Drosophila melanogaster: one gene and its partners. The protein of the gene in region 4 purifies or fractionates together with the protein of the main gene of each other region. This does not show direct contact. Each region holds a gene or a part of one and is shown on either strand. Other genes may lie near its edges.

What was found.
Region 1: the proteins of CCT2 (region 4) and Gp93 purify together in Drosophila melanogaster (affinity purification with mass spectrometry, with the first as the bait; one large-scale study listed by BioGRID). This does not show direct contact.
Region 2: the proteins of CCT2 (region 4) and Cyp12d1-p purify together in Drosophila melanogaster (affinity purification with mass spectrometry, with the first as the bait; one large-scale study listed by BioGRID). This does not show direct contact.
Region 3: the proteins of CCT2 (region 4) and CG1416 purify together in Drosophila melanogaster (affinity purification with mass spectrometry, with the first as the bait; one large-scale study listed by BioGRID). This does not show direct contact.

Annotation. Positions count from the first base shown.
Region 1 is NT_033777.3:27,946,809-27,952,675, forward strand, and holds Gp93 (glycoprotein 93), read left to right. Parts: upstream 1-1,902; 5' UTR 1,903-2,053; coding exon 2,054-2,093; intron 2,094-2,175; coding exon 2,176-2,265; intron 2,266-2,362; coding exon 2,363-2,445; intron 2,446-2,533; coding exon 2,534-3,786; intron 3,787-4,119; coding exon 4,120-5,017; 3' UTR 5,018-5,343; downstream 5,344-5,867. Other genes in the region: mfrn (mitoferrin), read right to left, coding at 386-502; CG4951 (uncharacterized protein), read right to left, coding at 5,433-5,606, 5,667-5,867.
Region 2 is NT_033778.4:11,116,685-11,123,811, reverse strand, and holds Cyp12d1-p (cytochrome P450 12d1 proximal), read left to right. Parts: upstream 1-1,927; 5' UTR 1,928-1,963; coding exon 1,964-2,065; intron 2,066-2,125; coding exon 2,126-2,451; intron 2,452-2,505; coding exon 2,506-2,622; intron 2,623-2,686; coding exon 2,687-3,707; 3' UTR 3,708-6,587; downstream 6,588-7,127.
Region 3 is NT_033779.5:21,756,444-21,761,537, forward strand, and holds CG1416 (uncharacterized protein), read left to right. Parts: upstream 1-1,566; 5' UTR 1,567-1,768; coding exon 1,769-1,916; intron 1,917-1,998; coding exon 1,999-2,635; intron 2,636-2,787; coding exon 2,788-2,923; intron 2,924-4,036; coding exon 4,037-4,180; 3' UTR 4,181-4,557; downstream 4,558-5,094.
Region 4 is NC_004354.4:9,087,835-9,093,335, reverse strand, and holds CCT2 (chaperonin containing TCP1 subunit 2), read right to left. Parts: upstream 3,824-5,501; 5' UTR 3,741-3,823; coding exon 3,738-3,740; intron 2,849-3,737; coding exon 2,159-2,848; intron 2,107-2,158; exon of another isoform or gene 2,037-2,106; intron 1,927-2,036; coding exon 1,299-1,926; intron 1,227-1,298; coding exon 940-1,226; 3' UTR 510-939; downstream 1-509. Other genes in the region: CG6999 (uncharacterized protein), read right to left, coding at 4,091-4,497, 4,571-4,865; CG32706 (uncharacterized protein), read right to left, coding at 5,327-5,501.

The DNA of each region.
Region 1 (5,867 bases), on a different chromosome or scaffold from region 4:
CGAACGTCATTACGAGGTGGGCATTTGCATACGCTTAAGTGGCGGACTTGTGCACTTGGTTGGCCCTACCGAATTTTCAGAAGAACGATGAGAACGCTCCGCCGATAAGAGCTAGTCCAATTACTATGGCTAATCTTATCGCGGAAGCATAAACCAATGGAACGTGCTACGATAAGCGTTCAGAGCGGCTATATGTGGCTATACCACCCAGAGCTCTTAATGAGAAACGCAACTCTTGGTTGCACTCGAGACGTGGGCAATTACATCACGATTATGCCAAAGCAGCGGCGGCACACACAAAATTCCGATTGATAGTGAGGTTAGGTCGTGTTATGTTCATGCCGCTGCTCCTCCGATTACCAGGCGGCCATGCAGTCTCTCTCACCTTGACGGAGTCCAGCGGATACATGACCACATGCTCCAGCACGCCCGCAATTGCGCCCGCCGTCATATTGACACCCACACTGGTGGTGGGCAGCGATTCGTAGTCGTCGATGTTCATGGTGGATCCGAACGGTTGCCGTCGCTTTCGATTGTTGAGGCTGCTGGTGGGGCTGCACTATCGACTGTGTTGTGTGCTAATGCTGTGGTTGCGCCCTTGCAGTCGCTGCTCCTCTTACGACAACCTGCTAATCCGGACCAGTTCTGCCAAGTCGCTGTTGCAGTTGCTGCTGCAGAGCCGCTTTCTCCGCTGGGATCGGGTCGCTCCGCCTGTCGAGGATCGGCGTTGGTTAGCGGGCAACTCTTGGCCGGCGTATGTCGGGCACTTTTGGTGCAATTTTGTTGTATAACACGGATAACACGACGATTCACGGACGCACGGGCGGGTGTATTTCGGGGGGTGGTGCTGCTGGCGGAGGCGGCGGCGGTGGCGGTGGTGGTGCAGAGTGTACGCGTGAGGTGGTCTTATGCGAAACTGCTAATTGACACTGCTGTTGCACGACTAGCATACAGACGACATAGAGACGATTCCCCGATTCAACGATTCACGCGAGGAAGCAATTTCTGGTTTAGTTGCTCGCGGCTAAGCTGCTGCTGCTGGAGTGGCGGCTGCGGATCGGTTGTTTTATGAATATATAAGAGTCGGTTTGTGGCCGAAGCGGAATTTTGGCTGGGTCGGTGTTTGGCAACTGACGCAAATGTTGTATGATTACAGCGAATCATTAAATTTCGCCCAATAAACAAGCCTCGTGCCCAGAGTGACCGCAGCGGGAACGTCGCAAAATACCAAAATGGCTCGGGTGAAAATACCAGCACAAGTCCACCCACATGTGGGTGCGGAACCTTAACGCCATGGCAAATAAAAATACCAACATTAAAATATTTAACTTAACATTGTAAAATAAACCGAACGGTACAAAATCATATGTTATATATTCTAAAACGAAATGGATTTCCTTGATCTCTGTCAGGAATTTATATTTTATTTCAATTCATATTTTTATCATTACTTTGCTATATCAATAAGTTCTCAGTTATCTATTTTGGCAGCTTAAAAATTGTATATACACGAAGTTGTTGTGCAACCGACCGAAGAATTTATTATTTTAAAGCTTAGTTGTTGTATACATGAAAAGATACTAATTTGTTTCAAATATAAATCATATATCTACCGGCCTAAGTGTTCCCTTTTGTAAACTATTGATATAAGAATGTAAATTATCAAATTAAATATATTTAACAGTAGAGTTTTGACACTACATCCTCTTGTAAACTAAATCCCAAATAGATTCTATGAATGTATGGGCTTTCAAATAAGCAAACATTAAATTTATTTAAATTACACTATTTTCGTGCTCTGTGCTGTATATATATCCTATTTCCAGTGCAGCCCCTGGTATTTCCTTCCAATGCGCTTAGAATGTTCCAGCGCCGGAATACGGTCACTCTGCGAGGCATTTAAAGGCCTTCCAGCCGCTTGTCGGCGTCAGTAAAAAAAAATCAAAGCAGGCGACGCAAGTGCGGACTAATTTATTGCATCTGTTATTCGTGACGTGGCCTTTCGCCGGACGAACCGATAGCTCGAGCTCCGTAAATCAAGCTACCAAAGATCATGAAGTACTTTTTGCTGGTGGGCCTGCTGCTCCTAGCAGGTAAGTGTGCACATTTGCCACGCCGCATTGAACCGGTGTTTTAACCTAATTATTAATTGGCGTCTGATTCGCGTCTGATTAGGCATCAATCAAATAGCCGCCGATGACGAGGCCGCCACAACGGAGACCATCGACCTTGATCTGGGCTCCTTCAAGGAGGGCTCCCGCACCGGTACGTAGACACGCCCCCCTCTCGCGACGACGAGTTTTGTTTGGTACACGTCAGCGTTGCGATAACCGCCCCCTTTTTCTAATTCCCAATCCCCCAGATGCCGAGACCCTGAAGCGCGAGGAGGAGGCCATCCAGCTGGACGGCCTGAACGTGGCGCAGCTGAAGGAAATTCGCGAGAAGGTGGGTTCATTGCCAGGTCATTTGGAAGGTACACGTATGACCGGGATTTCCTTTCCCTTTTTTCTTTGTCTTTTGTCTGTGCGTGCAGGCGAAGAAGTTTACTTTCCAAACGGAGGTCAACCGCATGATGAAGCTGATTATCAACTCGCTTTACCGCAACAAGGAGATCTTCCTGCGTGAATTGATATCCAACGCCTCCGATGCCATCGACAAGATCCGCCTATTGGCTCTGTCCAACAGCAAGGAGCTGGAAACGAATCCGGAGCTGCACATCCGCATTAAGGCCGACAAGGAGAACAAGGCGTTGCACATCATGGACTCGGGTATCGGCATGACTCACCAGGATCTGATCAATAACCTGGGTACAATTGCCAAGTCCGGCACTGCCGATTTTCTGGCCAAGATGCAGGATCCCAGCAAGTCGGAGGGACTCGATATGAACGACATGATTGGACAGTTCGGTGTGGGCTTTTACTCCGCTTTCTTGGTCGCCGATCGTGTAGTGGTGACCACCAAGCACAACGACGACAAACAGTACATCTGGGAGTCGGATGCCAACAGCTTCAGCATCACCGAGGATCCCCGTGGCGATACTCTGAAGCGAGGATCCGTGATCTCGCTGTATCTGAAGGAAGAAGCCCAGGACTTCCTGGAGGAGGACACCGTGCGCGAGCTCATCCGCAAGTACTCGCAGTTCATCAACTTCCCCATCCGCATGTGGTCCAGCAAGACCGTCGAGGAGGAGGTGCCCGTGGAGGAGGAGGCCAAGCCCGAGAAGAGCGAGGATGACGTGGAGGATGAGGACGCCAAGGTCGAGGAGGCCGAAGATGAGAAGCCCAAGACCAAAAAGGTTTCGAAGACCACCTGGGACTGGACCCTGATCAACGACAGCAAGCCCATCTGGACGCGCAAGCCCGCCGAAGTGACCGAGGATGAGTACACTAGCTTCTACAAGAGCCTGACCAAGGACTCCAGCGAGCCCCTGACCCAGACGCACTTCATCGCCGAGGGCGAGGTGACCTTCAAGAGTTTGCTCTACGTGCCCAAGGTGCAGCCATCGGAGTCCTTCAACCGCTACGGCACCAAGTCCGACAACATTAAGCTGTACGTGCGCCGTGTTTTCATCACCGACGAGTTCAACGACATGATGCCCAACTACCTGAGCTTCATTCGTGGCGTCGTCGACTCCGACGATCTGCCCCTGAACGTTTCCCGCGAAACTCTGCAGCAGCACAAGCTCATCAAGGTGATCAAGAAGAAGCTGGTCCGCAAGGTTCTCGATATGCTGAAGAAGATCGACAAGGAGGCGTATGAGAAGTTCTGGAAGGAGTTCTCCACCAAGTAAGTGTCGCTTTCTAGGAATTAAGAAACGTTCTTTGCCTGTTCAAATAATTAGTTATTTATGATAAGCATTTCCGCAGAATCCATTATAATATGGAGAATAGAATGACGTGTATTATTTTTTGCCAACAAATTAATATATTTAGTTTGTTGCTTTAAAGAATTCCGCGCTGATAAGATAAGGAAATCCACGTAGTATTATAATATTGGCACTGGTGACGTGTAGAGTTTATACTTAAATATTTTATTTTAGTTAAATAAGCATTTCCATTAGCTATAACCTCGAATTCTTGGATTTTCGTTGCTTATCAAGACTTAATTGACTCATTTCAGCATCAAATTGGGCGTGATGGAGGATCCCAGCAACCGATCGCGTCTCGCCAAGCTGCTCCGCTTCCAGACCTCCAACGGCAAGGGCGTCACCTCGCTGGCGGAGTACAAGGAGCGCATGAAGGCCAAGCAGGAGCACATCTACTACATCGCTGGTGCCAACCGCGCTGAGGTCGAGAAGTCGCCGTTCGTCGAGCGTCTGCTGAGCAAGGGATACGAGGTGCTGTATCTGGTGGAGGCCGTCGACGAGTACTGCATCTCCGCGCTGCCCGAGTTCGATGGCAAGAAGTTCCAGAACGTGGCCAAGGAGGGATTCCAGCTGAACGAGTCCGAGAAGAGCAAGAAGAACTTCGAGTCGCTAAAGAGCACCTTCGAGCCGCTGGTCAAGTGGCTGAACGATGTGGCACTCAAGGATCAGATCTCCAAGGCCCAGGTTTCCGAGCGTCTGAGCAACTCGCCATGCGCCCTCGTGGCCGGCGTCTTCGGCTGGACCGGCAACATGGAGCGTCTGGCCATGTCCAACGCCCACCAGAAGTCCGACGATCCTCAGCGCACCTACTACCTCAACCAGAAGAAAACGCTCGAGATCAATCCCAGGCATCCGCTGATGCGCGAGCTGCTGCGCCGCGTGGAGGCCGACGAGGCCGATGACACCGCCAAGGACATGGCTGTGATGATGTTCCGCACCGCCACCCTGCGGTCTGGATACATGCTCCAGGAGACTTCGCAGTTCGCCGACAGTATTGAGCAGATGATGCGCCAGACCTTGGGTGTCTCCCAAGACGAGCAGGTGGAGTTCGACGAGGAGGAGGAGGATGATGCCGAGGAGACCGCCACCGGCAGCCAGGAGAGCGGCAACGCCGATGATGAGGAGGAGGAGCAGCAGCACGACGAGCTGTAAACTACTTCACCTCACCCACTGTCCAAATAGATTGTACATAAGAGTGTGAAGTTCAGACTGAGTTTTAAACCGCCACCGGGTGGCCGGGCGGGCACTCCATCAACATTACACGCTAGATTCTAAGTAAAATAATTTCGTAGTCCTTCGCCCACGCCGTCATCACCGCCAGTCGCCCAGAGAGCACTCCACCATTTCAGCCAGCACACTTGGTTGCTCAAGCGTTTTCTTTTTTCGAAAGCAAGTGAATTATGTATTTATACAATGTAATATGCTTAGTACACAACAGATTCCAATCAAAACAAATAAAGACAAATGAATTTAAAACTAAAACAACTGCCTATTTAATATGGCGCGCAATGTAAAATTTCCGCAATCGGATACCAAAAAATAGTTAAAAAGTGAATTGATTGCTCGATCAGTCAAGATCGGAACTCAGCGGCTCATCGTTCAGGGCCCTCAAGTAGGTGTTGTACTTCATCTGGTCGCGGATCTGCTGCACGGCCTCCGATTGGGACAGCGTGTATGTGTCCATAAAGAGGCGCACTATCCACAGCGGGAGCAGTCCGTTCACCAGCAGCGACGTGTGGTTCTGGTAATCGGGACATGTTAGGATGGATATGTGTGTCACTCCAGGACGCCCCAAACTTACGCTTCGACTGCTGTAGACCTCGCCCAGTTTCTTGAGCATCTGCTGGTGAATGCTCTTGCTCAGTATGTCGATGACGTCCATGTGGGCAATGTTCATGTAGTGACTGGTGCGCGGCTTGAACTCGCGCTCCTTGAACAGCTTATCGAAGTCGCTGCGATAGTTTTCGAACGTATTCAGCACCTCGTCCTCGCCCATTTTTTC
Region 2 (7,127 bases), on a different chromosome or scaffold from region 4:
TAAATGTTTGACTGATGAAATGCAGATAAGAATTTTGCCTCCTCCTATTTCGCATTGTTGTGCAAACCTCGCTGTTTAAAGAGATGTTACTAAAGGATGTTACTAAAAGGCATTCCGACAGAAATCAAAATAAAACATATCTTCTACTGAGCATATAAGCCTATGTCTGAACAATAACATACTTATATTGAATATGAGCGGTTGATATTTTTTTAGCAGTATCAAGCTTTCTTGACTTACGGCAATAATTTCGCTTTCTATCACTGTGATGGTGGGAATTCTTAGGAGTCATGCTGGATTGCAGCTTTTCAATTTGTAGAGAATCGTTTTGTTATTCCTCTTGGGATGCGATGCTATATAAGCATTTTGGCAGGCTTCCCAGCTCAGTTGTCATTTTAGGCAAGCAGTTAATAAAATTAACTATGAGTATTGCGCAGAATGCGCAATCCATTCAGCTTGTGAGGGCATCTTCTAGTCAGGCACAGATTTTGGCCAATGTGAGTTGAAATACTATCACCACAATCGGGTATTCCACTAACATACATATGTGATCTGGATATTAAGGTAGCCGATAGTGTAGTCACTGAAGCGAGATCCTATAAGAACATTCCACTTCCCAGAAAACAGGAATTTGCAAGGGCATTTATGCCGGGTGGAGAATTTCACGATGCCTCAATTTTGGATTATGCAGCAGCGATGAGAAGTTGTTATGGTGATATCTTCATAATGCCTGGAATGTTTGGTCGCAAGGATTGAGTCACCACATTTAGTACAAAGAATATCGAGACTGTTTTCCGCAGTGAGGGAACTTGGCCGGAAAAGGATTTCTTTCCCTCGATCACATATTTCCATTTATGGAGAAAGTGTGGGTCTGATATTCGCGTAAGTTACCAAATAATTACATATGTATATCAAAAGCGGAAGTTAATTTGGAAACTATAATTTAAGGCAAGCAGCGTTGTGGGGCAAGATGCGATCAGCCGTCAATTCAATTTTTATGCAACCCAAAGGATTGAAAACTTATTATGAGTTCAACAACTAGTTCATTGAGCGCTAAGAATTAATTCATACTTGTATATTTCGATGTCCACCTGAGTTTTACTTTTTCTCCAACATTAAAGAAATTCGAGATGCTAGAACTCTGGAGATGCCGCCTGGTTTTCGAATCCCTTGGCTTGGTGGCTTTCGATCGCCCAATGGGTTTGATCAGTCGAAATCGAGACGATCCAGATGCATTGACTGTGTTCCAAAACACGAAGCACGATGTTCAGATATGCCTTTCAATTGAATATACAGCCATCAATGTGGAGATTTATCTCCACTCCAAACTTTCGGATGATGATGCGTCTTCTCGATGACATCTTAATGTTCTCACAGAAAATGATAAAGGACACCGAGGACTCTGTGGAAAAGCGGCGCCAGTAAATAAATAAAATAAAAAATAAATAAAATATCAGTATGCAAAGAGAACAAGGATCAACTCTAAGAATTGTTTTTATTTTTCTTTAATTTGGTTATTTATCTTGAAATTGTCTACCGTTGAACTAGAATCCTTATAAATTTTTAAAAAATATTTAAATATTTTAGATTTTTTTCTAGCGATCCCACTAAATGAGTAACGGGTATGTAATAGTCGTAATAGTAGTATCAAATTCTCTGAGGTGTATTTATTGTAAGTTCCAACGCTCTCAATTTGTTTTTCTAGCCAGTCACGTTCATTTGTTTATTTTTTCAGTTGAGTGAGGTAGGCAATTCACGGCGATTATACCGTTCAGCTGATAAGAAAATGAAACTCATGCTTTGTTTGCTGGCTTTTGTTTTTGTTTGAGATTTTTGCATTTTGAAGCATTTCAAGTTATTCGCTCTCCTCTCTTTTCTACGTTTTAGAGATAAGCCTTTGGTATAAGAACGTTCTCGAAAGTGGAACTGTTTTTAGTTGCAGTTGATCACCAAAAGGAATAGAATGAATACATTGAGCAGTGCGCGATCTGTGGCGATTTACGTGGGTCCCGTTCGATCTTCAAGATCAGCCTCCGTTTTGGCACATGAACAAGCTAAATCTAGTGTTAGTATGCACAAAATCCAGTCGAAATAGATTTATCATGTTATTAGTTTCCAATTATAGATAACGGAGGAGCACAAGACCTACGATGAGATTCCGCGGCCCAACAAATTCAAATTTATGAGGGCTTTCATGCCCGGTGGTGAATTCCAAAATGCATCGATTACGGAATACACCAGTGCCATGCGAAAGCGCTATGGAGATATCTATGTAATGCCCGGAATGTTTGGCCGCAAGGATTGGGTCACCACTTTCAACACAAAGGACATTGAGATGGTATTCCGCAACGAGGGTATCTGGCCACGTCGTGATGGCCTGGATTCCATTGTATATTTCCGCGAACACGTTCGACCAGATGTTTACGGTGAGGTTCAAGGATTGGTGGCTTCGTGAGTATAAAATCTAATAAGTAGCAAGGAAACAATTGAATTTGAATATTTCAGACAAAATGAGGCATGGGGAAAACTACGATCAGCCATTAATCCCATCTTTATGCAACCCAGGGGCTTGAGAATGTATTATGAACCATTGTCTAATATCAATAATGAGTTTATAGAGCGGTAAGAAATTTTTGTTATTGAATTGTTATTTATATATAGCAATAAATTCCATTTTACTGTGCAGCATTAAGGAAATCCGCGATCCAAAAACTCTAGAAGTCCCCGAAGATTTTACGGATGAAATAAGCCGGCTTGTTTTCGAGTCACTCGGCCTGGTGGCTTTCGATCGGCAAATGGGTCTGATTAGAAAAAACCGCGATAATTCCGATGCATTGACCCTCTTCCAGACCTCGAGGGATATTTTCCGTCTCACATTTAAGCTAGACATTCAGCCCTCCATGTGGAAGATCATATCGACGCCCACCTACAGGAAAATGAAGCGAACTCTCAATGACAGTTTGAATGTGGCCCAGAAAATGCTGAAGGAAAATCAGGATGCACTGGAAAAGCGCCGCCAGGCTGGCGAAAAAATAAATAGTAACAGTATGCTGGAGAGATTAATGGAGATCGATCCCAAGGTGGCGGTGATTATGAGTCTGGACATCCTATTCGCTGGTGTGGATGCCACAGCCACGCTTCTGTCGGCTGTTTTACTCTGCCTCTCAAAGCATCCGGATAAGCAGGCCAAACTGCGGGAGGAGCTCTTGAGCATCATGCCCACAAAGGATTCCCTACTCAACGAGGAGAACATGAAGGATATGCCATATTTGAGGGCTGTGATCAAGGAGACACTGCGATACTATCCCAATGGCTTGGGAACCATGAGAACCTGCCAAAATGATGTGATACTTTCGGGTTACCGGGTGCCCAAGGGAACGACTGTCCTGCTCGGCTCAAATGTGCTGATGAAGGAAGCTACATATTATCCACGACCAGATGAATTTCTGCCGGAGCGCTGGTTAAGGGATCCGGAGACCGGAAAGAAGATGCAGGTCAGCCCCTTCACGTTCCTTCCCTTTGGCTTTGGACCCCGCATGTGCATTGGCAAACGGGTGGTGGATCTGGAAATGGAGACCACAGTGGCCAAGTTGATTCGCAATTTCCATGTGGAGTTCAATCGGGATGCCAGCCGTCCATTCAAGACCATGTTCGTCATGGAACCGGCCATTACGTTCCCCTTCAAATTCACGGATATCGAACAATAATTTGCTTCTCATTTGTGGCCTTTACTTGTGTTCCTTATAGTTGCGATTTTTGATTACAGTAAATGTTTGACTGATGAAATGCAGATAAGAATTTTGCCTCCTCCTATTTCGCATTGTTGTGCAAACCTCGCTGTTTTGATAAGCAAAATGTTTAATACGTTTGATAAGATTGCGCTTTGTTGTGGCATCCCTATCGCTTTTTTTCGTATCAATTTGTTTTTTTCAACACAATTGCGAGGTGTGCTTTTCTTATATTTTTAGGTAACAAAGAAGAGACTATTGTAGGTTGTTATTTTTCTTGTTTTTCCCCCACACTTTGTATATTTAGGTGGTGGGTAGCGCTCACCAAAGACACTTTCAGCTGGAGCTTGCAGCTTGGCAGGCAGGTGAGAACGGGCTGCCGAGAGGATGTCCTTTGCCGCGCCACAAATACTTCTAACGGCAACAGCAAAATCAGGAGCAGCACCCAACATCAGGAGAGTAGCAAAGCGGCAAAAGCAGCAACAACAGACATATTCGCCTGCGGCCTGCGGAGTTATGCTAACTGGCACTCAAAGCAAAGCGCGGCCAAAAGCTCAGGTGGTTTGCCCTGTGCCACCTGCCACCTGCCACCTGCCCCCCTGGTCTTGTTCTTGTTTTTGCTGTTGCTGTGCCTGCCACTTGGCACTGGCAGCTTGTAACAATAATTTAAGCGATTTTGCGCTTTTTGCGAGTGGGTTAATGGCATGCTCAGGATCTAGGAAACGGGAAGTGGGAACTGTGAGCTGGGAGCCTGCAAGCGGGTATCCTTTGGCGTGGCGAAAATTCCACTTTTGTAGCAAACGCACATAGCTTATGAATTCCGCAATCCCCGATGCGGTGCAGCAGCAAAATGGTAGGGATGATGGACCGTGGGTCCTGGTCCAGTACAAAGTAAAAATGCAGAACATGTGTTTTTTCGGGGTGGCTGGATAACCTGGCTTATAGCAGCCATGGCCAGGGATCAGCTATATACATATACATATGGTCATGTACATCTCTTTGTGTCTGCTGTATATTAAAATTCAATTTTAAAACCGGCCACGCACAACCGGGCGTATGCGTAATGCGGCATGCAATCATTTGCGTGCGCCTTCGCTTGGAAATTCCTTTGCCATAACTAATCTCGAAGGCCAACCAAGACTAAGGCCAACCTAAGACTAAGGACCAGTCCTGACGTTTCATATTTCTAGCTCACCGCCCTGCCACCCAAGCTCAACCCGTTCCTTTGCCGCTCGTCTTTTATTTTATTTAATCTTTTTTCTTTTTTTTTTTTTGTGAAAAATTTCATACTCATCAAGTTGACAAAGAAAAAGTTTTTCATTATTACATTTCGCTGTCATTTGGGCGCAGAAATAGCTTGGAAAAGTTCTCGGAGTCCCGCTTTTCCTTCGCCGGCTGCCGGTTGAAACTCGAGTGCAGCGCGTAAATGAGTCACTCCCATTTTGAGTCGCCCGCCCGCAGCAGTCGGCGCTCATCATCAGATTTCCAAAAGGATAATGGTTTGGGTTGTGCTGGGCTGGGTTGGATTTGGTTAGGTTGTGGGGTGGTGGGGGGCAGTGGGAAAGGCACGGGCCCATTGCGTAGCTTGACGTAATTTTCTTGGCCTGCCTGACGAGTCGCATCCTTGCACATTAATCCATTGGTGTGCCTGGATCTCGGTAGTCGGAACCCCGGAACCCGGAACCCAGAGCTCGGATCTTGGTCCTTGCTGCACGCAAATGAGGGTATGGTCAAATCACTCACTGTCAGCCCGTGTCCCAAGGAATGCGTTCAGCATGTCCTTTAATTTTTTCTCCCTCTAAGACCAGTTTCATTCCCCTTTTCTGCACTTTGACAAAAAGCTGAGTCCTTAGCTTGCATAAGCAAAATGAATGAACCTATTTTTAAGTCATATACTTTTGAAAAGATACAAAATGGCCTTTGTTTAATTGAATAAATTTTTTTTGAAACTTTGAATGACATTATATATTTTTATTTAGTTGTTTTAAGCAATAATAAATTTGCACAAATTATTATTTAAATATGTTTGAATAGTTTAAAAACTTAATGATTTTTCAGTTTTTTCTTATTAGTAGGTCTTTAAATTTCTTTTGAGTCTCCTCAACATCATTCCATTGATTAGCAATTCGGATGACACTTTTCTTATTGTGCAGGCACTAGCATTTTCTATAACTTGACGTTTGCCCGCCTTGTCGTTGCCCGTCCATTTTCCATTTCCCATTTTCCGTTCGGCCAGCCCATCCCCACTCCCCCTGGCTTCTTTGTCCGGCTTGTACTTGTGTTGCCTCGCTTGCCGCTTTGCTGCCTGTCAGCGCGCAGCTTAAGATAAAAACTTTCCTTTCCACCCAAAAAAGGGGCCAAGGCGGCAACACCGGCCAGAAAAGGCTGAAAAAAAAGCAGGCAGAATGGCCTGCGAAAGGGTTGACTCTGACATTTAGCTTTCGCATATTTGCACACACCCCGCGTCCCCATCCACCGACAGTATATTTTATAGACTAAGGCGAAGACATGACAAATGCTCAAATAGAAATTCTTCAACAAGATTCTTGGCCGAAACTTAAGTTCATTTTTTGGTCGTGCACATCGCATGGGGGCTTTTGTAAGGGCCTCACCAGAAAGAATTCAAATTAAAATGCGATTGCTCTGGGGCTCACTCGATTTTCGTGTGTTTTCTGACACGGCCTGTCGATGGTTTTTGCATTTGTCTGCAAGGCTGAATTTAATACAGGACACTCTGCGCTTTCCGAATCACGAATTGGCTTCAAATTCAATCGATTGGTGGGGCATTCAAATATTAACAAAAATAGAAAAAAGGGTGTGCTTTTTGTAACAATTTGAAAATACTTTTATTTACTTAGGTAATTTAAGTAAATAAAACAATATACTAAAAGTGTGTAAGGCAGTTTCTGTTTTAGTGAATATATTACCTATAACTACATTTTATAAACCTGTGACAAAATCTACGTTATCCATTTAATGGCTATTAAATACTCCAAAACATTTTCCGCATCGATTTCCTTTAATATTCAAAATCATTTTCCGCTTTCACAGGAATAATATCAAACATATGACCGTGCAGCTGACGCTCAGATGTTTTCCCGCTTTCCACGCGGCCACTCGAACTTTTCATTCATCAGGCGCAGCGCACACGCATTGCCGAATTTGCACCAACACCAGTGCATCGGGGTCACCCAATTTCCACCCAAAACAGCCACCCACTCAGCCGAAGCAGTCGAATAACCCAGACACCCGCACAACTCACTCACCCATTCATATATTTTATGTTTTGTTTACATTGCCGGCTTGTGCAGCCCAAACAACAACTGATTCTATGGAAAAAGCGTTGGGAAAGCCTTGTGACGTCACCGGGAATGTGCGTGCTATAAACCGAAGCGAAAG
Region 3 (5,094 bases), on a different chromosome or scaffold from region 4:
AAAAAGACATCACGAAATTGTTTTTCTGTATACTACAAGTGTATACGAATATGTTCTTAAATCGTTGTTTCCAAAATTAAAAATGTATGTATATATTGATGGTCAATTACCTGTATTTCGAGTAAAAGTTCCTGCTTCTTGCGTCGCAGCTCAATCAGCAGTTTTTGCTGCTCCGGTGTAAGTTCTGCAAGAACGAGATGCGAATCAATAATAAATTCATATACTTGTTTCTGGGCATTTTGTAAATTGTATCGCAACACCAACAGTAAAAATAAAAAACACCAGAGCAGCATTCCAGGCACACGCGCCCAACACACATACACACGTGCATACACGAGCTGTTTGCGATGCGATGAAAGCATCTTGTAGGCTACGTCACTAGCTTAGGCCGATAAACAATTTTCACTTGTCGAAACCACAATGGATTGCTAATTGTGCAAATTGGCTTATTAGCGTTACCAAAGCTCTTCGGACTTAATTCTGACGAAGGCCAAAAACGAGAACGCAATGTACATATGTACATAATATACATACATATGTGCACTAACATTTCACCTAGCACACAAGTCTATACATACAAATGTTGCTTGTTGCTTCTCTTATTTTGTAGTTGTGGGTATCCCAATTTGTGATCTTAATAAAATTTTATCAATACAAAGATTCGTATTCTGTTCATGCTAGGCTATATCCTTCGGGCCAGCAAAAGTATCTGCTGTTTACCTGGCATTGAGAATTCACTGCGCCCCTTTGATATGGCACCGTACGATCTGTTGTCGAAATTGTCCATTGCGCTAATCATCGCGGAGCTACTGAGCTACTACACACACTCTCGCGCACACGACACACACTCTAGTTGTACATTTTTCACCAGCAGTTGGCTAATTTTTAAGGCTTTTCATTGAACAATCAAAGACGAACGGATAATAAACAAATCAACACCAAAAAAATTCTATCGCCATTTTCTTTCAGCTCTCCACTAGGGATGTGCTGAATTCAGCTATCGGTTGAGTAAACAACTGAAAAATAACAAGTGCATGCTGACTTAAGCTGGGTGTTACGCGAGCTCTGTGTGGCCACTTTTAAAATATCCTGATGCCACTGCATCTTGTAACCAAACGTAAGAACTTTTTAATCAGTAGAACTAAAAAAATTAGGGCTAATTATTTACTTGCAACAATACATTAAATATTTTTAGGGGTACACTTTTTCAGAGATTAGAGCAGACCTTATCTATTTCAAGACAAATAGCTTGAAAAGCTGTAAAACAACTTTGTTACATCCATTATGGTGTGATTTGCGGGAATCGGCTATTACCATTTCGAAAATTGTTTGTTACAAGTTAAAAACATAAACTTAAAGTTTTGGACGTACATAAAAATATAACATTAAAACAACCTTGTTATAAAAAAATACAATACCACCAATACTTACTGTCCATTTTAAATCTGTTAAAAAATTCACTGAACGAATACGTCTTTCGTCATAACTCCATTTAAAATATCGTCAGGAAATTTACACATCATTTCGTTTTTTTAACGGCACAAACACCTCGGACTTGGTGGCAACGCTGCCAACATATGTGTGCACTGGCATCGATAATTTTTACATCCCTATTTTGAACCGCAGAATTCTAGAAAATTCCACTCGCTGGCCATAGTAATTGTCCGAATTAGTTTAAGCTAAGACTGCCGGATCAAAAGTAAACCAACATCTTCCATCTTTTCATAAAATTGAAGACAGTTTCATACAATTCTACAGTAAGAAAGCGATGGCCAAGTGGGGAGAAGGAGATCCGCGCTGGATTGTGGAGGAGCGGCCCGACGCCACCAACGTGAACAACTGGCACTGGACGGAAAAGAACGCCACGCCATGGTCCAAGGACCGCCTGCATCAGCTTTTTCAGGATTTCAAAATAGGCGAGTATATAAGAATTTGTAGTAGTGTAGAACATACATTTTAGGTATATCCTAACCTAAAAGTAAACTTCTCAAAACGCAGGGCAAAGCGACATTGAGTGTGCCGTGGACTCCGTGGACAAATGCTCCGGGGAGGCCACCGTGAACAATCGCAAGGGCAAGCTCATATTTTTCTACGAGTGGGAGCTGGTGCTCAAGTGGTCTGGAAAGCTCCTAAAGAACAGCAAGCTGATCCACAAGGGCAAGTTAACCATTCCCAATCTCTCCGAGGAGAACGAACTAGCCGACGTAGAGATCACGGTGACAATCGACGAGTCCAACGACGAGTCGGAGACCCTGAAACAGTTCATGTACAACGTGGGACGAGACCGCGTGCGGCAGCAACTGGCTTCCTACATCCGAGAGTTGAAGGAGGAGTACTCCAAGAACCTTATCCTACCAAAGAAGGGCGACGAGGCCGGAGCGGGAAATACTGTGGCGAATTTTAAGGATGCCAACAATACCCGTAATGCAGCCCAAAATATCGCTTTAAACTCCTCGGTGGCGGCTCCTAGGCTGAAGAACTCTGGCATCGGCTGTAAACTGGACGTTCGCACTCTCTCGATGACCGAAGAATTTCACTGCAGCGCCAATGACCTTTACAACGCTCTCACAAAGCCAGAAATGGTCACTGCCTTTACGAGGGCACCTGCCAAAGTAGATGCCGTGCGCGGTGGAGAGTAAGTTTTTGTCCCTGGTCGTTTTATTTTACCATCACATCAGGACCGTTTGTGTCGTCATTTAGTAATCTTGTTATGAATAACCATAAATTTCGCCCCTCGCCCTTGTCTTCACTTCTTTATGGTAAGTAATCTTTTGTCTTTTATTGTAGATTTATTCTTTACGGAGGCAATGTGCTCGGAAAATTCGAAGAGCTCGTCCCTGAAAAAAAAATACAGCAGAGCTGGCGTCTGAAAAACTGGACATCTGGTCACTACTCAAACGTTGTCATAGAGCTGGAAGAAACTGTAAGTTACTAGGACAACGAAAACTAGATATATTATTATTTATTTTTTTAAATTGACCCGCTTAGTGATCCTGATTAACAATATACGATATAATTTTCAAAGAATGTAGTACTCCTTATCAGTCAATAAATAACGCGTATAAGACCATATTCCTACGGGCCTCTAAATTCGAAATATTTACAAAATTTTATGTGCACAAAGAAAATAGTAATATGAAAAAAAAATAACTTTGTGATTTGTCTATTTATTATTTATTGGTTAAGAAAAAAATTAAATTCGTTACAATACGTCGGATTTAAACTTATGAATGTAATGATTTTGGTTTAGTACATTTTTGAAATTTACATTCAGGTTAAATTCCTATTAATACCTAATTACATTATATGATGGAAACCAGCAAATTTGGTTAAAAACGATGTAAAAGCTCGAATCTAATCTAAAAATAAATTCCTGAAGTAAGGGTTCTGCGAAATAGGATGAAACGGATAAAAAACTCTGTATGCCCGTAGAGAAATATGGTCTAGTAGATTCGTTGAAGAATATTTAACAGGATGAAGTGAACTTTTCCGACGCTATATGTATTATTGATCAGTATCAGTAGCCAAATCTATCTAGCCTTGTCTGTCCTTATGAATTTTGAAAAAAGTTTTGAATTTTTTTCGTGTTATTATTTGCCGTTCCAATTTCTATCGAACGTCAAATATATATAATTAGGAAATGTACTTTATTTACCTCTTACTAGTAAATTTAATGGACGATGTTCGTTTGTCAGCCGTCTTTTCGGAGGCAATGCAGCATATTCATCTTTACCTATCTCATTTTTAAAATATATTATTAATACTCCCAGAGTGACGACCACACAATTTGTACTTAATTTATTTCTTTATAGTCGGGGAACTCTATTATAGCGTTCTTCCTTGTTTAATTTTAAGTTTTGCGATCCTTCCTTAAGCTTAATTTTCCTGACTTGACTATAACCAATAAGGATTTTTTTGTATGCCTGTTTTTTTTTTTTTAATTTGTAAGCGTTACTCGCTATACATTCGGAGAATGATGCTTTCAGTGCTATCCCAAAATAATATTTACCTCAAATATAACGCTTCCTCCTTGCAGTCATCCAGCACAATGATGTCGCTCAAGCAGACCGGGATACCCGCGTCCGAATTTGATGCGATGAAGACAAACTGGTACCGATATTACTGGCATAGCATCAAACAGACCTTTGGATTCGGTACCTCAATATCTGATGCCTTATAAGAGGACGCTTCTAGTGCGGATTGCACTGAATGATTGAGGGCTTGGTGTATGGCGGATTATCGAAGGATTATTATTTGTATTCAACCTAGAGTACTGCGAGAATTTCATTTCCAATCATAACTGTAATTTCTGTTTATCCTTAGAGGCTTTTTCAAATCCTCTTAGGTATATCGATCGAACTGGAAAGTCCGCGGCTCGCTAAAAAAACACATTACTTACAAAAAATCGAATACAATTCAGGCATTCGACATTGATTTCACACATTGAGAAACAATAAACAATAATTTAAAACAAAATGTTTATAATTTTGAATTGAATATTAATAATAAATTTGTTATATTATTAAGGACATAAAAAGCTTTAAAAGCCTGAAATTTAAAAAGTTATATTTTTATGATTTCCGATTTTCATACCATTTCTTACTCCGAAGGGGAAAGCATGGGCTAGGTGGCACTGAGTATAAAAGGAGGAATTTTGCTCCACATAATGAAACAGTTTTCCATTCCATTTTATCAGGTTCACTTGCCAAGCCGATTTCTTTATGTTTGTCTGTCTGTCCGTATGAACGCCGCCAAAATCTTTAAGTGAGTGTTTCCGATCGTGAATGTATTCGTAATCAGTATCAACAGCCGAATCAATATAGCCATGTCCATTATAGTCATATATATCTGGAATATAATTATAGTTCCCAAGATCCCGACGATCATACGAACGGACACAAAAAAAGACTAACGGAAAAAGCCATAGCATCTCTGTTTATACCTGTTACTCGTTGAGCTAAAGAGTATAATTGATTATTTAAAAAGTATGTATCAAGAAGAAGGTATCCGACAATATGAAGTATATATATCAATATATGTATATGTGTGTACCAGTATCAATAGTCGTTCGCAAATAGTTTAAAAGCAATCGGC
Region 4 (5,501 bases):
AAATGTGACATTGGTCGTTAGCATTGGTAACTAGCTGCTCAAAACAGTTATTCTTTCATTTTTACGATCATTTTTAGCCAAGTTATGAGGAAAATTCCGTTTGAAAATATCAACATTTTGGCAAAATCCGTTTTTCCGAATTTCGGCCATCAAATAATCAGTTTTTTTGCCACAAAATTAAAAATAATTGTCTGAATATGGAATGTCATACTTCGTTGAGCTCGTAATTAAATTTCCAAACGAACTGAGCTAAAAAATGGCAATTATATTTTTTGGCCATTTTTTGTAAATTTTGATGATGTTACCCCTTACAAAAAATGAGAAATTTGACCAAAAAATTAATTTTCCCAAATCGGCTGAAAAGTGGCGTGGGTCGAAAACATTGGTTCTCCAGTGCTCAGAAATGTTACTCTTTTCGCTTTATGATCATTTTAAGCCAAGTTATGTTTAAAAAAAGCTCATAAAAATTCGGGAAATAATTGTGGTCCAAATAAGAAGGCAGTTTGTTTAGTTTTGTTAAGCATAAATATATGATTTATCATTTATTCCTTTTTTTTTTCTGTTTAATGGTCTTCAATTTGCGCACATCAAATGTTTACAACAATTGTATTCATTTACAAGTTCGTTTAGTTGTCGGTTTGATGGAGTTTTAGACATTTTTGAAATGTTTTGGTTTGATCGCAGCACTCATCCTCGAATCAAAAGCTCAGCTTGCAACATCATATCAATTTGTTTCACAATTAAGTAGAAGGATTACACGACAGGGACAAATTTAGCGAGAAATTGTGCGACTTTGAGAGTGGGACGTGTGATATAATTGCTAATGTGTTGTGTGTGGATTATTAGTGTAGTAAACAGAACGTGTAAGGTTAGCGATGATGTTAAACGAGAGTTCATAATTAAAAAAAATATGATCCTAGAACAAGAATACTTAAGCGCCTAGCAGTAGCCCCTGTCGGGAACGCGTCGGCGTGGAGCGCAACGGATGATGTTGTCCACGCGCAAGATCATCTCGGCAGCCTCCGAGGCGGACATCAGAACTTGGCGCTTAACGGCGAACGACTCGGTGATGCCCAGTTCACGGACATCGGCCACCTTGCCCAGCTCCATGTCCAGACCCAGAGTCTGTTTGCCCTGGGCGTGGCCGGCACGCAGCTCCGAAACCAGTTGGGCTGAATCGTAGCCAGCATTGTCGGCAATGGCCGTGGGCAGGGACAGCAGAGCGCCTGTAATACGAATAATAAAAGCATTTCATTAGGAGCCATCTCCAGCATATGATGTGGATTTCAGCGACTTACGGGCAAAGGCCTCGATAGCGATGGCCTCCTTGCCGGGTGTCTCGGCTGCCTTCTTCAGCACGGCGGTGGCCATTAGAGCCTCGGAGCAGCCGCCACCGAAAATGATGCGCGACTCCTTGACGGTGGCCGCCAGCACGCAGAGGGCGTCGTGCAGGGAACGATCAGCCTCGTCCAGAATCTGTTGGGTAGCACCGCGGATCACGATGGTGCAGGCCTCGCCCAGCTTAACGCCGCTAAAACGCAACAGCGTATCCTCGCCGATCATCACCTGTTCGATGACATCGCATTCGCCAAGCTTCACCAGCGAGGGATTCTCAAAGGTGGAGACAATCTCGCCGCCGGTGCAATACGCCAGACGCTCGATGCCATCGAAATCGGCATGCTCGATGGACATTACACGGGCATCGGCAAACAGCTGCTCCGGATAGTTGTAGATCAATTGCCGGTTGATGAACACGTTGCACTTGTGCTTCAGGATCTTGTCCACCTTTTCCTTCATCTTCTCCTTCTCGGCCATCTCCAGGTCGGCGATCTTGGCCAGCGAATCGACCTTGATGCTGCTGCCGAACACCTTAATCTTATCGGTGTCCATGGGCGTGTTGGCAATCAGGATTCTGGCATTCTCAATCTGCGATGGAGAAGAGCACCCATGTATGAGATCATGAGATTCTTTTACTTGGTCTTGAAAGACTCACTTGCACGCGCAACATTTCCACGTTGATGAGGCTGGCTGTCCAACAAACTCGTCAAAATGGCTGTGATATGAAGTCAAATCCACATAGCTCACAGTCATTTTGACGCGTTAATAGACAGCAGAGGTAGACGATGTTTAGCACGATGGAACTGGAAACATTACTTACACGCTGTGGCTGGTGCACGCCGGGCTTCTTGTCCAGCAGGAAGCCCTCGTCCAGGAACGAGTCTCCCAGTGTGCCGCCCGATTTCTTGATGATCTGTATGGACTTGAGCTCGCCGGAGCCCTTCAGACGCATCACAGCATCCACCGCCAGATTGGCGAAGAAGTCTTTGTGCTGGTGCAGGATCTTCGAGGAGAGCGTGGTGCGGGCAATGTTCAGCAGGTCGTTGCGGAACTTCTCGTCACTGGACGAGTTGTCCTGAGCGGCGGCGGTGAGCGCCTCCAGTGCCACCTGGGTGGCCTGACGCCAGCCAGAGACGATGATCTGTGGGTGCAGCTTCTGTTCGACTAGTTTCTCCGCCTCGCGCAGCAGTTCCGATGCCAGAACGGTGACCGAGGTGGTGCCATCGCCCACTTCCTCGTCCTGCACACGCGACATATCGACCAGAATCTTGGCGGCCGGATTGTCTACACCGACGGCACGCAGAATGGTGGCACCATCGTTGGTCACCTCAACATGACCGGCGTTGCGTCCGGTGGCCACCAGGATCTTGTCCATACCCTTCGGACCCAGCGTGCTCTTTACCAGATCACCAATGGCGATGGCACCAATGAACGAGGACAGACGGGCCATCTCGGCCTTCTCCTCCTGCGCCTCATTCTTGAGCACGCGCACGGGATTCAAGGACATCTCCTGCAAGACAAAACGCGATCAATTGGTGTGAATCATTTCGATTGATTGTATAAATTTTCTAAGAAGGGCACATTTCTTGAGACTTAATTTAATTACAAAAATGGCATGACTTTTTTTTAGCGTAGATCTTATGGAGGATTAATCATCAGAAGCAAGTAAAGCTAATTCATAATTACTATTCATGCAGGAAATTATATTATAGCTTTTTTTGCGAAATAAAATTTTTTTTTTAACATTTAATAATTTAGCATAATGAAAAAGTGATATGATGCCAAGATGACATTGCAAAACACCATTATGATATTCTCATCGACAGATCAAGAATGCTATCTTGACAATGGCAGGCGGCTGCCCAATATGTTGCAATTTCTGGCGAGGATTGTCTGTTGGCATGGCCAAATCCGCAGTCACTGCAAACCAGATGCGTTTGTGATGCGAAAATATTCAAAATGTATATGTATTCTATGTCAGATTGTTATGGTTTTTCGCTCTGTGCAGCCATATCGCCTCGACCTAACCCCAAAAAGTGGCGGACGAGGGAGAGCGGCGCCGAGTGATTCATCGGCAGCAAAAACGGCGTGGAATGCATCTCGAAGGTTCTCAGCCAGCTGCCCGAGCCGATCCCGGCCAGCAATCTAGTGATAGCTCCAATTCACCCAGATCCCGTGGACAGCAGGAGAAGGTTCTGGAAGTGGCAGGCGAAATCGGAGTCCATGGCTCACGTGCAAGCCGCCTGTCAAAATGGCTTGCGCTTCGTTCACACACACACCCGGCAAATGAAAACGCCGAATTGGCCACAATTATCAATGAAAAGTGGGCGAATTCACGCAACGCCAATAGCCCGCACCGTAAACTACTCGAATAATATAGTTGTTACTTTTAAATTTACCATTTTCTCTGCGTAATTAGTCGATTTGTGATCACAGAATTTTCAAATACCACACGGGCGCAACAAAGCGACAAAGAAAATGGAGACAGTCGATGGCTGTTATCGATAACGCGCGGCTATCGGGTAGAAATACCGACAACGGAAAGGTGCTAACGCCTGCATGAACTTAAATACCAAAAATAGTGTTGACACAAACCAGCACTCGAAAGTTTTGCAGTTATCGATATGCAATGCAGGGGCGCTTATTTCAAATAATTTTGCGCGCCTAAATATTAAAAGATTTTGATTTGATTTACTTTATTGAAGTATATTTGCAGTCAGGTAGACATTGGAAGCAAAGGTCTAGCGTGAACTCAGGCAGACTTCTTCAATTTCTTGGCAGCCATCTCCGCTTTCTTGGCAGCCATCTCCGCATTCCTGGTAGCCATCTCCGCTTCCTTGACCTTCTTCATCTTCTTCATCTTCTTCACTTGCTTCTTGAAATACTCCATCTGGTCGGGATCGTACCAGAAGGTGGCCCGCTTGCGGGCCTGCGACCATACGCGAACTTTGCAAACCGCCAGCTCGTAGTCCATGCGATCGGTTAGATAGTACCACTTGAAGCGTGGCAGGAACTTCATTTTCCACAGCAAGCCACGGAATCGGGACGACTTGCCATCGGTTATAGGCTTATTGTTCAGCTCTAGAGCGATTTTTTTGGCCCCACTTTTCGAAATGAACTCCACCCAGCCCTTACGCATGTTCTTCTTTGTCTTGAAACCTAAAGTAATTGAGATAAAAGTTTATACTGGGTAATCAGTGGGTCATTTGTGCATGCCACTTGGTCCACTCACTTGACAGCGTTTCCGGCTGCACGTAAACTCTGCCGACGACGCTGTGCAAGTTCATGATTTCCTTCAGGCAGTCCCCGTCCATGTCCTTGGGTATGTTGGATATTAAGATGACGCCTACCTTGTGCATCTTCTCGCGTTTCTTCTCGGGGGCCCAGGAATTGAAGGTGGCTTTGAAATTGGCCAGCTCCTTTTTATCGTCATTTGAGGGATTTGCTATCCCATTTGCAGACTCACCTTCCTTTGTCTGCGGCTTACCCCAGCGCGCCTCGTCTAGCTTAGTCTCCTCCACTTTCATGGAAGTGGACTTGCGCTTTGGCTTTGATGTATTAATTATTTTTTTCATTGTAGCTTTCGTTTTAGCTGGATCGAATATATTTTGTAATGTACGCAATCAGGTATGACAGTTGACAGGCGATGTCAGTTGACGTTTTTATCGAAGAGCTATCGATGTGTTGGTACCCTTTCATTAGAAAAGCATATCGCTTTAAAAACACTTTGTAACAGAACATTTGATTTACTCAGCCCTATTTTAATCGAGAAATCTTAACCATCCCTGTGCGTTACAGTGGCCTCCTTCAGCTTGAGTAGCTGAAGTAGCATTAACACGCACACACAATCGGCGAAATTATCGATATGCAGGGGCCCTAATTTCAAATAATTTTGCGCGCCTAATTATTTAAAGATTTTGATTTGATTTACTTAATTGAAGTATATTTGCAGTCAGGTAGACATTGGAAGCAAAGGTCTAGCGTGAACTCAGGCAGACTTCTTCAATTTCTTGGCAGCCATCTCCGCTTTCTTGGCAGCCATCTCCGCATTCCTGGTAGCCATCTCCGCTTTCTTGACCTTCTTCATCTTCTTCACTTGCTTCTTGAAATACTCCATCTGGTCGGGATCGTACAAGAAGGTGGCCCGCTTGCGGGCCTGCGAC